2 linked regions of the Oryza sativa Japonica Group genome follow. The protein of the gene in region 1 binds, or shares a complex with, the protein of each later gene. Links are inferred from orthologs where the notes say so. Each region holds a gene or a part of one and is shown on either strand. Other genes may lie near its edges.

Region 1 (8,379 bases):
TCAGCGTAGCCACCTTAACCCACTGCCCAGGAGGAATGCCGTAAACATTGAAATACACTTCACAATTAGCCTTCCACATCTGTGGATTATCCCCATTGAACTGAGGACATGTCATGGGTGGAACACTTCCAACAATAATTCCAGTACTTCCACTACCCCCTTCTGGTACTCCTGCTGATTCTACCACAAAAGGCGAAATAGAATTCAACATAGGATCTCTCATACCATGGATAAACGATGGAGTTGGTGATGGCGATGCAGCTGTTGGTTCCTCCTTGATGTCTCCCACCGCCTTCTCCGCCTTGGCCTGACGAAGCATGGCGCTCTCCAGTTGTTCCACCTTAGCACTCAAATCCCCCAGCGACGAATGCAAATCCCCAACTCGTTTCTCTACTTGAGGCAACCTCGCTTCCACCGCCGCCATGAACTCATTCAGATCTGCTCTGTTTCTTTCTTCCGCCTCAGTCCGCATCTTCTCAATATCCTCCAGGGTTTTAAGCAGCAAATCCAACATCCCTTCCTACGCCATGATTTGCGCAGCCTACTTCGTAACGTACCGTGGTTTCTCCAGGATCAAAGACTCGCAACCGCTCCGAACTCAGCCAACCCAAACGCAGCAAGGGAAGCGAGTTCCCTTTTTGCGGATTCTGCTCGAGAGCAGATTCCAATCCGCGCTTCGTGATTCTACGGCCGAGTCAAGAGGATATGGTTGGAGATGGCTCTGATACCAGATTGTTAGAACCCTAGCACTCGATTTCACCACGAACTCAAGAACACGATAGGTAGCTGGAACTTTGTATTTCTCTCACGATCCAACAGGATCGGAGCCGCCGCCGCTGCCTTGACCGCCGAGTTCCAGATCGATGCCGTTTCAGACAGTACACAGTAGTTTTTAATCTCTCTCTCTCTCTCTCCAGCTGTGCCACAAGGTCTCAGCCCACTCTACCCTATTACACGGCCCATTCCGGCCCAACATATCTAGGATTAGTAATACTCTGGCGCTTCTCTCTTTCAAAGACGCCTTCTGCTCCTCCGTCTTCTGCTCCTCCGCCTTCGTCAGAGTCCTTATCGCGCCTCCTATTGGTAACGTCAGCTTCCTTGCTTATCCTGACATTTTTCTTCAAACTTTTAACTTTTTCATCACATCCAAACTTTTCTACACACATAAACTTCTAACTTTTTCATCACATCGTTCAAATTTTAACCAAATTTTTAATTTTGACGTGAACTAAACACACACGGTGATGCATGATCTGCATCAATTCTCGGATGTCAGAGGAGATCTCCGAATTACTCGTTTTCAGATTTCGGATGAAGGCTAAACCCCGAACAAATGCAAGTGCCCAGTGGTTCGTCGGAGGTGGAATCCCCAAGGAGACATTTGGGCTAAAAAGAGACTGGGTCCACGCGGCCCCTCTCACTGTGTGTCAATCCTAGGAGGGGTCGCCGCCGGAGACGTACGGATAGCACGGACGTCGGCGAGTGCGAGGAGATTTCTTGCAGACTGTACGTTCTGAATTTTCATGTTTTCGGTGAGCGAGTGAGACTGGATCTCTGTCTCATTTTACTCAAGCTGTTCTTGGAACCGCATTACAGATTATGCAATTTGATGGGTAAAGAACCGCGCGCAACTTAGCCGCTTAATTAAATATGCAGTTAGTCAGTTAACTAATAAGTTGCTTCTGAACGTAGGAGTACTCACTAATAAGTAATAAAGTACTAATTGCATTATGATATCACAATAAGCAACAGTACTTGTCAAGAGTATATGGGACTATAGGACTAGATTCTACAGTGGAGCACGTAGGATTGACTTGTGCCATTTGCCGTGTGGTTTTCTTCAGAAATACCGTAGAGACAGATAGCACTCATGAGTCATGACCTGAATACTCCTACTCCATCCGTCCAAAAAAAAGATAAACCCTAGTTTCCGTGTCTAACATTTGATCATTCGCCTTATTTAAAAAAATTATAAAAAAAATTAAAAAGATAAGTCACGTATAAAGTATTAATCATGTTTTATCATCTAACAACAATAAAAATAATAATTATAAAAAAATTTCATATAAGACGGACAGTCAAACGTTGGCACGGAAACCCAGAGTTTGCCTTTTTTTTGGGACGGAGGGAGTAGCTGTTAGGGCACCCACAATGGTTATTTATAGGCTATCTATAAGAGATCCATGTCAGCATATTTTCCTACTTGAAAGAGATTAAATAAAGAGAGAGAGCAAAATTATCTACTAACCTAGAGATAGTCTATAGAGAAAAACGAGACAATGGATTAGAGAGCTATAGATACCCATGTAGACATACTATTGAGGTGGTTTACTATTAATCTAGTCTATTGCTGAGATGTACATGTTTTATTAGATAGATTGTGGGTGCTCTTAGTGACAGAGATGGAGGGACTGTTATCTCATGACCTACTTTAATAATGGCGACCTGGAATTAACCAAACGGAGCAGCATACTGTATATCTGAATTAATTATGGCTCGTCCAACCGCGCGTACTGTACTGTTGAGTGGAAATGTTTGTGCGCTTTCTGAAACCTATACTGATCGCTGATCCCATAATTCATGCCCTAGCTAGTTCATTTTGGCAACATTTGCAAGGTAGGAGTAGTAGCTAGCAGCTCATCACCTTAGACCCTGTTTAATTCACATTAAACTTTTCCTAAACTTCCAACTTTCCATCACATCGCATTAAATACAAAATTTTTCTACTCACATAAACTCTCAACTTTTTTTTAAAACTATTAACTTTTCTTAAACTTCTTCTCAATTTTAGGAACTAAACACAGCCTTAACAACTGAACTGAATATGTACGTGTGACTCCATCAGCAGTCACCTAGCCAGAAAGTGCAAATTTCGTCCGACAATTTCTCATATCCAGTTTTCGGATCAACCGATCAAACCAAAACGGCAACAAAAAACAAAAAAAATAAAAAATATATATCGCTGATGCGCGTGTGATGATTGCTGTGGTTTTATTCTCCGAACCCCCAAAAGAGGCGTTTGGGCCATGCAGCGACTAGGCCGTTTGGTTGACCCAATACTTGCCTTCTCCACTCGGCCCACGGGCCCACAATGCGAAGGCTGAACTGAAGCCCACCTACACTCCTGCGTCTTCCTCCTCTCCGCCGCCGCCGCCGACGAGCACAACCGCACACGAGACGACGTCACCCACAACCGCACGCGCAGATCCGAGAGGCGAGAGCGAGAGCGAGGTGGGAATGGCAGGGAGGCTGACCGCGGCGGGATCCCGCGTCCTGGGCGGCCAGGGCGCCGCTGCCCGCGCCGCGGTGTCCGCGCTCCGCCACCGCGCCGGCATGGGCCTCCCCGTCGGCAGGCACATCGTCCCCGACAAGCCCGTAAGCCGTCTCTCGCCACACCTCTCCCCCCCCCTCTCATCGACCTTGTGCTCCTCCGATTTCTCTCTCCGCCGATGCGATTTCTCCATCTAATCGATTCGATTTGCGGGGGGATTTGGGGAATTTGCAGCTGCCGACGAACGACGAGCTGGTGTGGGACAACGGCACGCCCTTCCCGGAGCCCTGCATCGACCGCCTCGCGCCGCACATCGGCAAGGTCTGATTCCCAACCCTCATGCACTGAATCACATGGATTCGTGGGGGTCTCATCTGGTTTGATTTGATGTGATGCTATTTGGTCAGTACGAGGCGCTGGCCTGGCTTTGCGGTGGGCTCGGATTCTTCGCTACTCTTGGCTTGGCTGCCACCTTGAACGACAAGGCCTCCAAGATCCCCTATGTGAGTGCCAAATACTTCATTGTGATATTTTACTTTCTGTTGGATGGACAAACAGTAGAATTGCTAGCATTTCAACAACAGTAGGAGTGAACAAAGTAATACTGTAAGGTTAGACCAAATAGCCAAGAAAACATTGCAGGGATGGGGAAAACATTAAGATGGGAAATGGCCACTGTGATTCAATCCCTGTGTCATAGTTAAACCTTTATTTCGCCCATTAGGACCTGCCGTTGTTTCTGCAAATTCCTTTCCTTCCATTTTGCTCACATGATTCTCTAGGTGGCACAGTTAATATGTCTAAATGTTATATCTAGTCATTCTCAAGTTAGAAGATTTTGCCTCCAGATAACTTCTATGAGGATTAGGCCACTAAGGGAGTATGCTGATCATCTGCATTAATTATATTATTGAATTAACAATGCACATTGAAGTTTTCTGTTGAACAATAGCTCCTTGGGTTCGATCTGTTCCTTGCTACTATATAGTATATACTGACAAGTAATTCTATATTGCTCCTAGCTATATAGTCATATAGCAAAGAGTAATTTTATATTGTTCCTACCCTCCAATTTATAGAATCAGCAAAAGAGGGAAAAAAAAGAGTTTGAAAATGATTTAATGGAATTGAGATCATTGTTGTCCATTTTCATAAAAAGAAATCATCACTAGACTAAACAATCATAGACCTAGTTGTACTGTAAGAAAATATGATGAATAGATGGCATTTTTGAAGGATGTATATTTTAAATCCTAAATGCAATCAGTCATGTGCTCTTATCCTCTTGTATCAAACAGTTACAAATATATATGGCGTATTGCCACTCTCTGTTAGCAAGCTGAATTTAGTCACCCTTATTAGCTGCCTTCAAATGTTTTTGGATGAGAGGATATTGTATGAGGTGTTATTTTATAGAATCTGTGATATTCTTAGGGAACATTTTACTCACTATGCCTAAATTTACTTCTTGATCAGGCCATGCACTCTATATTTTAGCATCTTCTGTAAATATAACTTCATTGTGTTTCCTCATATGTAAAAGCCTTGATTTATATTACTTGAATTGTACTCCCTCCGTTTCACAATGTAAGACTTTCTAGCATTACCCATATTCATATAGATGTTAATGAATATAAACACAAATATGCGTCTAAATTCATTAACATCTATATGAATATGGACAATGTTAGAAAGTCTTACATTGTGAAATGGAGGTAGTAGTATTGATTATCATGTTCTGTTGGTCTATATGTAACACTAAATATTACCTCAATGTGATCATACTAGGCACTAGTTTGAGTTGAATCATGGAGTGGGGCTGTGATAATAACTTTGTGTGGTCTTTGTAGAACTCTTTAACCCTTCAATTTTCTGACCTATTAGTCTCCTTTCTCAGCACCTATCCAATTTCGATTCTGAAAAGGGAGTTTTTTTTAGGGGAAAAAGGGAGGTGTTTGGTCTAGCTTCATAGTTCATAGAGATATCATGGTGACATGGTGTGGTAGGCTAAACTGTTGCGAACTTTGAAGCATGTAGGATTTTATTTGTACATATTATCCGTGTTCGATACTCCGTACAGGCTACACAGTCTCTTACTTTCTCTAAGTTGCTTCTCTGCCATAGATGAAATCCCCCCAAGAGTTGATTTGCTCCTTAAAAGTGTCAGCAGATAGCAGAGTTACTATACATGTTAAGCAACTTGCCTCTTCAGTGTTCCAGGTCTGTAACTTAATTGAAGAATGAAGGTTCACAAAAGAGAGGGGGCAATACTGTATTTTCAATTTATCTCCTTATATTTGCCAGAATGCTATTAGATTGTGCGATCAGTCATTAAAGTAACACTTGTTACAGTAGCAAGCCTGTTGCATATTTTGTCGCCAATGGGCAAAGAAATATGCATACTATTTCTGAGCATAGACCGGATCAAGTTAAGATAATGGTTCATCCTAATCACGACAAATGATGCCTGTCTGCTTTTGATTTGCTTTTATGAACAACTTGACTGAGGATTTTTTATATTTCTTCATGCAGACTCCAAAAGTCTACCCATTTGACAATTTGAGAGAGGAACTTGGTGATAGACCATAGAAGAAGACCCCACTTCCTCAAGTGATGTGATGGACTGAATTCTCTTGCCTTCTTTAATCAGAGAAAAAAACAGGACAATTCCAATGTTCCTGATGGTTGTCTTTGTTGTCGCTGTATTTTTATAAGTTACAATCTTGTGATTTGCTGAATCCTGCCAAGCATGGCTTTGTTCTATAATAATGCGATGAGTGTCTTTGAGCAACTATTGCACATGCTAAGGAATTGACTCTTGACGATTTAAAGTTAGAATTTTCAAGTGCCTATATTTGCCCTGTAACTTCTTACAGAATGCCCTGGAGTCTGAACCACGGTTTGCGCCATTCATCTGTTGGGCAATGTTCTATAGGTGCAACCTGGCTTTAAGCTGTAGAAATGAGACGAGTTATGGATTCTGGCATTGTTTCCAAACCAGCTCTTGGCCCTGTTTTGGGGGTGCCTATAGCAGCTTTAACTTTGAGAATAATCCCCGGTTGCTCTAAACATTCCATATTTTGACTTGCATTCTGATAATTTGTAGTTGCAGAATTTCAAAAGTTGGCAAACTCATTCCTTTTCAGATTCTCGCTAGTTTACTCACCGGTTGTTTCTCGGAATCTTGCTCCATGCATGCAGATTAAACACTGACTATTCCATATTCAGCTCAGATTCAGAATCACATATACGGTATATTACTCGAGCAACATATATTCAACACAAGATTTTTATAACGAACTTTAGCACGCAAAAGCACAAATCAACTCCGAGGTACATGTAGATGTAATGTCACTCACTCAAGCACAGGAATTAATTAACTCAACATCGGTCATCAAAGTAGTAAGCATGCGCTACACGATCACACACGACACCGAAAGCAATTAACAACAAATCAAATAAGCGAACAATAACAATAGCTGCATGAGCTGCTCATCAAGCACTAATTAATTCAGATATAATCAAATTAGCTAGCTTAATTAGCTAGTTGCTGGAGCACTGGAAGCCATTGGGGAGCTTCCTGCTGCAGCGGTTGACGAGGACGCTGAGCTGGACGTGCGGCTCGACGCCGACGAGGCCGAGCACGTTGGCGCGCAGCGCCGTGCAGAGGCACACGGCGGCGTCCACGTCGGCGAGGCCGGCGAGGAGCCCGCAGCACTGCTCGCCGGAGGACGACGGCGACGAGTTCCCCAGCAGATGGCCCAGGTTCAGCAGCCCTCCTCCTCCGCCGCCGCCGCCCAGCACGTCGGCGCACGCCGCCAGCTTCAGCGCGTCGAACGGGCACTTGGCGCCGGCGGCGCGGCGCGCCGGCGCCGGCGTCGGTTTGGCGCACCGCGATCTGCAGGCGCCGCCGTTGCAGCGGCCGCCGCATGCCTCCGACGGCGCCGCGGCGAACACGAGGAGGCTCATCAGCGCCACAATGGCGGCGACTGCAAGCTTGTTTCTACTACTGTTCTTGTGCGCCACCGCCATTGCTAATTGACACACTAGCTATAGCTCTAGCTAAGGGATGAGTTGAAGTGTTTATGTGAGAGTTCAGTGTGTGTGTTGTGTGCAGTGCACAAGCTAGCTAGTGAATTTATAGCAGGGGATTGAGCTGAGCTGAGTGAGTGAGCTAGGCATGCATTTGCTTGAGTCGGCCCGGCATTTGTTGTTCCGGCAATTACATAACAACATAATACTAGATACTGATACATTTTAGTATCACGAATCTGGATAGAAATTAGGTTGTTACTCTCTCCGTTTCAGGTTACAAGATGTTTTTGACTTTGGTTAAAGTCAAACTGCTTTAAGTTTAACCAAATTTATAGAAAAAAATAATAATATTTTCAATCCAAGATAAAATTATTATAAAATATATTTAATTATTAATATAATAAAACTAATTTGATAATATAAATATTGCTATATTTATCTATTAAATTTAAAACAGTTTGATTTTGACTAAAATCAAAAATCTTATAACCTAAAACAGAGAGAAAAACAGAGAGAGTATATTTTTGGACGGACTTAATAATTAACTAAGCTATATATCTGGGTATTCTACCTGTACTCTTAAACGATCTTGTGGTCGACAATATTGGTGCATACAGTATATCCGTGCACGAATGAAGTGGCATCGATCGATCTGTAATGTTCATGTGAAGTACACCTTCACCTTCAAGTTTGCGGTGCTTAATTAAGTAAGCTCATATGACGAGGCATGTATGTGCCGGAGACCATAGGGTCAGGGCATTATTAGATTCGGCGCCGTCGCGTCATCATTCGATGGGCAAATTAATGGGATCACTATATATGTGTGTGGCTTTGTCCGATTGGTGCGGGCACCTATGCAGCTCGATCAATGTAGAACCTAATTGTACACAAATAAATGAATTAATTCATCTTCAATCTGTGGTCTTCGCTTCTGATCTAGCGGTGGTTTGTAAAGGCGCTCCCAAGTCCCAAATGATCGTTTTAATTAATTTGGTCCAAAATTTGTGGACCACACTCAATATTCATCTGAAATTGATCCAAAGAGGGAAGGACGGTCATTGCCTCTGAAGACT
Region 2 (8,380 bases), on another chromosome or scaffold:
GATTCCCAGTAGACAAAAAAGAAAGTAATAGAAAAGGACAAGGTGTATAGAGTTTGGGCCAAAACTATAGATTAGGCCCATATTTTACCGGCCCAATTTGGTTACACGTCGGCCTGTTACCACAATCTGATGCTAATACGAGCTAGGGTTTCCTCGCCGCCGACCCGTCAACCCTATATAAGCGGCATCCTGTTCTTCCGAAACCCACTCATCGTTCCCTTCCGCCGCACCGGTAATATGTGGTTTTCGCTTCTCGCGTTTGTTCAATCTTAATTTGAGTTTCTTTTCTGTTCTCTCTTCTTTCTAGATAGATCTGTTGCGTTTGGTTTTCAGATTGGTTTTACGCGGTTGCAAATCTGATGCAGTTTTGAAGTGATGATCCTTTCCCCAAATTATCGACTATGATTGTACTGTGCGATTTTTGCAAGCTCTTCTCTTCGGAGAAGGCTTCTAAGCCAGTAGTTCTGATCAAACCGCTACATTTGATTTGCATCTGATTTGGTTTCGTTTCTCTGGGAGTTCATCCACTAGATCTGTTTCTGAGTTATTCATCCGCGGTGTTCTGATTTTCGCCTGTTGTTTTGGTTGAGATATTATATAATCTTGATGGAAGTGAGGATCCTTTCCCCAGCTGATCGACTATGATTATACTGTGCGCAAATGTAATCCCTCTTCAGAGGATTCAAGCCAGAAATCTGATCCATCTGCTATTCTCAACACAATTTCAGCTTTGTATTTTTGTTTTGCAGTGTTTTTTTGCGCGACCCTTTTTTGTTTGTTTGTTTGTTTGAATGGAAGTGAAGATCCTTTCCCCAGATGATCGACTACGATTATACTGTGCGCAAATGTAATCCCTTTTCGGAGGATTCAAGCCAGAAATCTGATCCATACAGAATGCAATATTTAACTTTACTTTTTGTGGTTTTGTAATTTTTTTTTCTGTACAGTTTTTGCTCGTCCAATTGTTTGTTTGAATGGAAGTGACGATCCTTTCCCCAGATGATCGACTATGATTATACAGTGCGCACAAGTGACCCCTCTTCGAGGAGGATTCCAAGCCAGAATTCTGATCCATTTTTTTATATAGTTTTGGTCCGTTCTTTGTTGTTTCGGTCTTTTATTTTTCAGAAGGGAAACAATGAGGCAGCACGAAGAAGTGAAGAACGGACAAATCCTTCCATTTAAGAAAGAAGACAGCAAATGGCATACGCGAGTACACATCACCAAATACAGAGTGGAAAAATTATCAACGAATATCCAACTATAAATTGTATGTGCTTTCAATTAGAGATACTTAAAAAAATGAGAAGAATGAATCACAAATATTAGTTATTTGTCAAATTGCTGACAAATTTTCCATGTCACCCGTAAATGTGGACATGTGGTTGCTTGGTGACAGTCTGCTAGGCAACTGCAATACCCGATATCACTCGCCGTTAGCATTCAGAGCCTGGACAGTTCTGCATTTGCATTGGAGGAGAAACATTCAGAACTTACACGAGCATTCGCATTGGAGCCTTGGAGGAGACAATCAGAATCTACACTATAAATGGCCGAAGGGGCTGCCTGCCTGGTCTGAGGGCAGTCGGGCCGTCACGGACCAACAAACTCACTGTGACAGGCCGTGCCCGCTCATGGGCTGCACTATGGCCCTGGCACGGCCCAATAAACTCGGACCGTGTCGTGTCGAAGGCATGATCAACCCACCGTCCTTAGCTTTAAATAAGTATATTTTGACTCCCTCATTTCTAAAAAAAATCGTGCGTACTAGTACTGCATTTTGTTGTTAGCAGATTTATCGATACACGACAGAAGTGCTCTGAGGGTAGTGCTCTTATCAGGGCATCCATGATGTAACACAAAAGTGACCCAAATAAAATGTAGCCCATTCAATCCGTAGCTCAACGTAGCTAAATATCCAAACTTTCAATCCTCTTTGTTTAGGATTATAAACTAATTTATGTGCAAAAAATCTTATGCTATTAAACAAGCGGTTTTTTCGTTTCGCCTTTTTAAAGTCGTAAGCTACTCTTGTGCTATTAAGCCAAAAGCTAAGTCAGAAGCTTTTTTTTAAGCTTATATAAGGTAAAAAAAATATGACTCTACATTTAAAGTTAGAACTTTAAAATCCATTAGCTTATAAGTCACACACACACACACACACACACATATATATATATATAGATATATATATATATATATATATATATATATATATATATATATATATATATATATATATATATATATATATATATATATATATATATATATATATATATATAAGAAAAGCTAACTTGTTATTATCATTTATGACATACCTGGCTAAAGCATGGATTTGTATGGCTTGGTACCAAAATGAGTCTGGCTAAGCCCACCACAACACAGCTAACATATTGTAGTACTCTAGTTGGGCATAAAACGGATAAAGATTAAGGTTGAGGCCGGCAAAATTTTATTAAGAAACAAGTTTTTGATTGCCAATGTTTTTCTAAAAAAAATTAAAGTAAATATCACAAAACCTCTAGTATTATGGTCTGAGTTTCAAAATAACCATGGAGATTTTAGTCTATCCAGATATCTAGAGTTATTTTGATACTTCTCTTCCAGTAAACCACACCCCAACCACATCTTAGCAATGATGATATGTGGGACCCGCTGAGGCCTGGGTAGGGTTGACCTTCTCTACTTCATGTAGGACTCACCGCTACCTACGTTGTCGCCACCCACGTCAATAATCCTCGATTGTGATGCTAACTCTAGTCCCGTCGCAATCATGTTAACCTCATCCTCATTCGTCACCACTAGTCCTCGCTGTTGTTGCCTCTCGCCTGCAAGCATCATCTGCTTCTCCTCTAACTCGCCGCCACCATCTCTCATCGGACCATCGCAGCTCGACTCCTCGCTGCAGATCTAGCTAGGGTGGGTGCCATGGCACCCTTGTCGCTTCACCACAAGCACCATCGTTATCTATTGCCGTATGTTATTTCGTTGTTCCGTCTATGTAAAACAAATCTAAAGATCTTAGAAGTTTTTTTAAAAGAAAAACACACCGTTTAGCAGTTCGAGAAACCCGTTATCGAAAACCCATATAAAATTTAAATCTTAATCAGAAAAGAATAGGGCTTTTTATATAAGCATTACTTTAAAATATTAAATAATAATTTTTTTATGTTTGGAACAATTAAAACTTAATTAATTATACTCTGATAACTTTCTCTGCGCTGATTTTATTCTAAATCTATCTCAAACATCAGCTATGTGTTACTATGACTTATGACTACGTTCAACTTTTAATCCCAGTTTACTTGGGGCCATTTTTTTTATTTTTTACGGAAGTTTACTTGGGGCATTGGGGAAGCGAGAAACTTCTTGGTCTAGCTGGAGCCCGAACCCGAGCCCAAAGCGACCGATCCAACCACCCGCATCCACACACCGCACCACCAACCATCGACCGCCTCGCCGGAGAGGAGAGAGAAAGGAAGAGCGCGAGATGGAGGCGGCGGCGGCGGCCGGCGTGCAGCTGGGCACCTCGAAGCCGCAGATCGCGACCCAGGCGGAGATGTCGGAGGCGCGCCTCCCACTGCCCTACCGCGACCAGTGCGCCCACCTCCTCATCCCCCTCAACAAGTGCCGCGTCGCCGAGTACTACCTCCCCTGGAAGTGCGAGCCCGAGCGCCACGCCTACGAGAAGTGCCAGTACGAGCTCGTCATGGAGCGGATGATCCAGATGCAGAAGATCCGCGAGGCGCAGGAGGCCAAGTCCAAGGGCGCCGCCACCATTGGCGTCCCCCTCATCCCTTCCACCGCCAAGCTCTCCTGATCCCCGCTCCGCTTCGATCTGCTCTATTCAGGTGATCCCCCGCCCCGCCTTGTCATTTTGGCCCCTCTAGATTTGGCTCGATTGCTGTGATTGGCTTCGTGATTGCGATTTCAACGCAAATTTTACCCTTCGGAATTCGACGAGCACTACTGATGAACCTTTAGGCTGTAGAGGTATTGAAACTTGAGTTTCCATTTCGGCTGTTTTAGCGGCGCCATCAGTTCAACCTACTGAATTTCTTATACCGGTGCTACAATGTTAGCTAGGGTTTTCACTAGTTGGTTATGAATCCTAACACTACTGGTTTTCACTAGCTGGTTATGATTGGGAGATATAAGTCCAACACTAATTCGTGGGAGAACAATACATGCCTGAATCCTGCATCAGTAACCCAATTTATTTGGAGATCTGAATTTAGTTTTGTTGTCACCAACTTGCTGAATGTTTCGATCCCAACACTTGCCTGATATCCTGCACTGGTATGCACTTTGAATTTCCACTAGCTGTGCTCTTGGTGGTGGGATTCGGATCCTCTGACACGCAGTAGTCAAGTCGAAGACGTGGTAGTACCCATCTATCCGCTGTCCAAAACCATCCGATGGCTCCTGCTTATTAGCCAGTTCTTCTCCACTGCTTGCAAGGTTGCATTGTTAAGGACACGCTGTTCCCATCCACTAGGACCTCTCGTCTGAGCACGTCAACGACCAAAATGCTTGATGTTAATGAGGAGAATGCTGCTGAGAAGCGAATTTGTTTCATTAGTGATTGCTTTGGCCAATACCAAGCGGAGCTCCTTAAGTTAGCCTCCCTTTTCTTCGTAGTGTCCGTGTGGCGGCGCGTGCCGTTGGACGGCCACAAAATTGGGCTGAACCGTTTCTGACCGCTCCAAAGATCAACTCTAAAATTTGCCACCTCAAGGCTAATTTTCTCAAATCGAGGTTGAAATTATTTTTCACATGTTCTATAGCCCCTTTCGCTTTCCAGAGCAAATTATCTGCCTCAGCCCACCGGAGCAGGACACCACCAATGCCATGTTTCTGGCCACCACAGAGCTCACCCGCCACTCCGCAGCCACAGGTGACCCCAACCTGAACAACACTTCCACAAGCTCTGCTTTGTTTCATGGGTACTCGATGACCACAGCGCCATACCACAGCATCGTGGATTTTGTGGCCGTAGGCATGTAATGACTTAGGAGTATGTGCGAACTGCGAAGAAGGCAGGAAGAAAAGGGGAGAACGAAGACCAAATAAGGATCATTGGATTAAAACAGACAGTTGATATAGAGGGGTACTGCACGTCTCTGACTTAACTACTGCATGTCAGAGGATGCAAATCCCTCTTGGTGGTGCTGAAGTTCACGGGAAAACTATGTAGACTTGGGAAACACATAGTCAGAATTCCTGCTGTTTAGCCTGGAGCCTTGTAGCAATGGAGCATTTCAGGTTTTTTTTCTGTTTTAAGCTGATAGTTGCTCTCAGTCACTCAGTGATCTCTAACGTTTTGACTTCTCTCTGTCCCTTAACAGGGTACTTTTCTTTATTTCATTTAGGACAAGTAAAAGCTCTTCTTTGATTAAAATTTATACAGAAATTATGTTTCCCCATGCTTTTGCCTTCCCCCTTCTTAGCTATGCTGGCACACTTTACCTTGTATGACCAGCATTAGTTGTATTCATGTCTACTTATACATAAAGCTTTGTTGTTAGCCAACCTTTTTTTTTTCAATTTTACTTTGTCCTTTCTCTCATGAGCTAAAGTTTATTTGAAATTGACCTCTGGCCTCTGGGTTGATATCAATGGGGTATCCTTTTTAAAGAACGTGACCTGGTTGTTTATACATCTCTTATTTGAGAATAAAGTCCTCTCATTTGATGCATCTCCAATCAGTTGTGTGCATTTATTTGCTTTATTCTATGATTTCCCCTGTTTCTATTCTCATTTACAGAGTGCTGCCTTGACAGCTGACAATTGTTTGGTAGACCTGTGATTTGATGGCATTGGTATTAGTGACCTAGCAATGGAGATCAAGAAGTCTTTCCCAAAATCTTGATTTGATGTTTTATTTAGTTGTAATATGGTGCTTTGTGCAATTTACTGGCCATTTTTTTAAGAAAGCGAACCACTAAAAGTTAAATACTACACGGTCGTTGGTTTATAAACATACAAACAGAACTAGTGTCACTAATTACTAGTTACTGGCAAACCGGATGTAAAATACAGTATCAGAATGAGCAAATGCTGGTGAACAATTATACCAAATTGCTGAGTAATTACTGGATTTGTAGTTCTACTTGCTTTCTTTGCTGAGCCGCTTACCTTCTCTTTGACATAGAAGATCATTTAACTTAACATGAGTGACCAACCTAATTCATGGAAGCAACCATCAAAAGATAACAAGATATAGGGAAATTGATCTGGGACAGAAATGTTGCAAATATGTAGTCTATCTTGTTTTTAGAGTTACCTTCCGTGTGCACCTCTTAAACATTAAGTCCTTTTCTCATCCATGTTTTGTTGAAAACATATTGGATGTGATATTTAAGGAACTGTCCACTGCAAATCATTTGTTTGAAGTATCTAGTAGTAGGAGTATTGCAGTGCAAGTTCTCTTTGATAGTTCCTCTGTGACAACAAGAAACAAAGGACATAATAATGACAGAAGTACATAAGTACAGATAATATACTTTGGCTGCTTCGTTTCTTCTGCTAATAGTAACTGCAAAATGATTCCTTGCACTTATTGTGTATGGAGTACTACTTTATCTTCAGAGTTATGAATCATGACACACTGACATAAATCGTGTTGGCATTTGCAATCTTTTCAACTGTCCATTAGGTGATGAAATCATTCTGTACCTTTAGGCTGTTAGTTTCTGGCATATTGGTAGATCCATACTCTCTACAGTTCAGTCATCATAGTATAGACCGGCATCTTAGATGCTGCAACTATTTAGTCTTCATGCCTTTGATGATAAGTGCTCTTTGGGAGGTTCCTCTCCCATTTGAATGCATCACTATAACCTTTGATGGCATAGACATTGGATGTGTCAGATGGTTAAGTTTGGGGACAGCGGTTTTTTCCCTATCAGAATGGCATGTGGCTCATGTGGTGTTTACTCTGTGCATCCTTTGTTTTCACCTCAACCTGAGTCAGTAAATGCGATGCTGTTTTATTCTGTTTCCTCTGGCACAATTTGGTTCTGTTTTGTTCCTTCCCTGATGGCACTCTGTCTAGAAACTCCATCCGATTTTTCTTTTTTATATAGCACACATTTATCAGTTTATCAGTCATATTGACAATTGGATTCCTTTCGGATGCACAGGGCTGGTTATGACAGCACGAAGGACATTGTGCAAGGATCGTGGATGCTAGTTCTATGAACCAAACATCTGTTTGAATTTAGCATAAAGTTAACTGTTGTCTTCTTCTCTCCGCCTTTACTCCGTTGGTGAGCATCTTCGAGTTTCAATATGAAATAAGGAACTACCTGTTTATACTCAATGACTGAAATGACGCCTTAAAGTTTTGAATGCAATGCGTGGACTCTGCATATGAAGAGCTACTTTAATTCAGTAGAACAACCCAGTTACTCCCAGTCTCCCAGTAACATATCCTTCCATAAGCTCATAGGCTGAAACCTTTTATATGCTCTGTCACTACTGTGTGTAGCATAGGAACTGCAGTTGTTGTTTGTGCTTTAGTTTTGTTGATCCATTGCTTACCTAATTATCTTTAGTCGTGGCCAGTCTTAGGTTATGTGTTCTTCAGGCCGGATTATGGGGATCTGGTTGCTTTTGCAGAACCTGCCTTGATGAGGGCCAAAAGTATATAGGGATTTCGTAGTCAAACGATCTTTTTGATACTCCAAGTCACAACCTATTTTGTCTACTTGGATCACCAACTAAAAACTAAGAGCAATTCCCCCACTACTGGTAGTGTCACCTACTCCCTCCATCCTATTTTAGGCGTAGTTATGAGTATCCGTGTTCAAATTTAATCGTCCGTCTTATTTAATTTTTTTTTTGAAAAAAATAATAAAAAAACATAAATCATGTAGTATAAAGTATTATTTATGTTTTATCATCAAATAATAATAAAAATACTAATCATAACAAAAATTCAAATAAGACGGATGATTAAAGTTGGATAAAAAAACTTATGGCTGTGCTTAAAATAGGACGGAGAGAGTAGAAACTAGTGTAAGGCTTTGTTTGGGAGAGTTTAAGCTGCTTGCATGCTTCTGAGAATTTTGAAAATTTGGGTTTCGCGAGTTTGAGCTTCTACGGTTAGTTTATTTTATAAATTCTATAGCTACAGATACTGAGGATGTGGACTGAAAATTCTGGGAAAATTGGCTTTTGCTAAAAGCTCCCGTAAACGTATGCTAAGTCTCTACAATTCCAAGTCTCTCACTAACATTACTAATTCAATATGATAATTAATCATTATTTCTCTCACATTATGTCTTGAGCTACGCCTAGTAGAAACTACTCCGTACTACAAGATCGGTTTCTTTATCATTCCTCATTTAATAGTTAGATTGTCACATTATAT

What was found. The genes of interacting proteins can lie anywhere in the genome.
Region 2: the proteins of NADH dehydrogenase [ubiquinone] 1 beta subcomplex subunit 8, mitochondrial (region 1) and NADH dehydrogenase [ubiquinone] 1 beta subcomplex subunit 7 are in contact, whole or in part, in a cryo-EM structure (PDB 8BEH), measured with the Arabidopsis thaliana proteins. The link is inferred for Oryza sativa Japonica Group from reciprocal best matches to the Arabidopsis thaliana genes AT5G47570 and AT2G02050. Residues at the interface, in NP_568684.1 of Arabidopsis thaliana: Ser103, Lys104, Val105, Pro106, Phe107, Thr108, Pro109, Arg110, Tyr112, Pro113, Tyr114, Leu117, Glu120, Leu121; in NP_565280.1 of Arabidopsis thaliana: Met10, Ala12, Thr13, Gln14, Met17, Leu24, Gly25, Arg27, Asp28, Met29, Arg69, Met70, Ala72, Met73, Ile76, Arg77.

Annotation. Positions count from the first base shown.
Region 1 is NC_089044.1:22,341,232-22,349,610, forward strand, and holds NADH dehydrogenase [ubiquinone] 1 beta subcomplex subunit 8, mitochondrial, read left to right. Parts: upstream 1-3,158; 5' UTR 3,159-3,237; coding exon 3,238-3,375; intron 3,376-3,505; coding exon 3,506-3,592; intron 3,593-3,678; coding exon 3,679-3,774; intron 3,775-5,803; coding exon 5,804-5,860; 3' UTR 5,861-6,062; downstream 6,063-8,379. Other genes in the region: putative lipid-binding protein AIR1B, read right to left, coding at 6,815-7,303. UniProt on the Arabidopsis thaliana protein: Accessory subunit of the mitochondrial membrane respiratory chain NADH dehydrogenase (Complex I), that is believed not to be involved in catalysis. Complex I functions in the transfer of electrons from NADH to the respiratory chain.
Region 2 is NC_089037.1:1,692,373-1,700,752, reverse strand, and holds NADH dehydrogenase [ubiquinone] 1 beta subcomplex subunit 7, read left to right. Parts: upstream 1-3,402; 5' UTR 3,403-3,493; coding exon 3,494-3,823; 3' UTR 3,824-3,854; intron 3,855-7,148; 3' UTR 7,149-7,376; downstream 7,377-8,380. UniProt on the Arabidopsis thaliana protein: Accessory subunit of the mitochondrial membrane respiratory chain NADH dehydrogenase (Complex I), that is believed not to be involved in catalysis. Complex I functions in the transfer of electrons from NADH to the respiratory chain.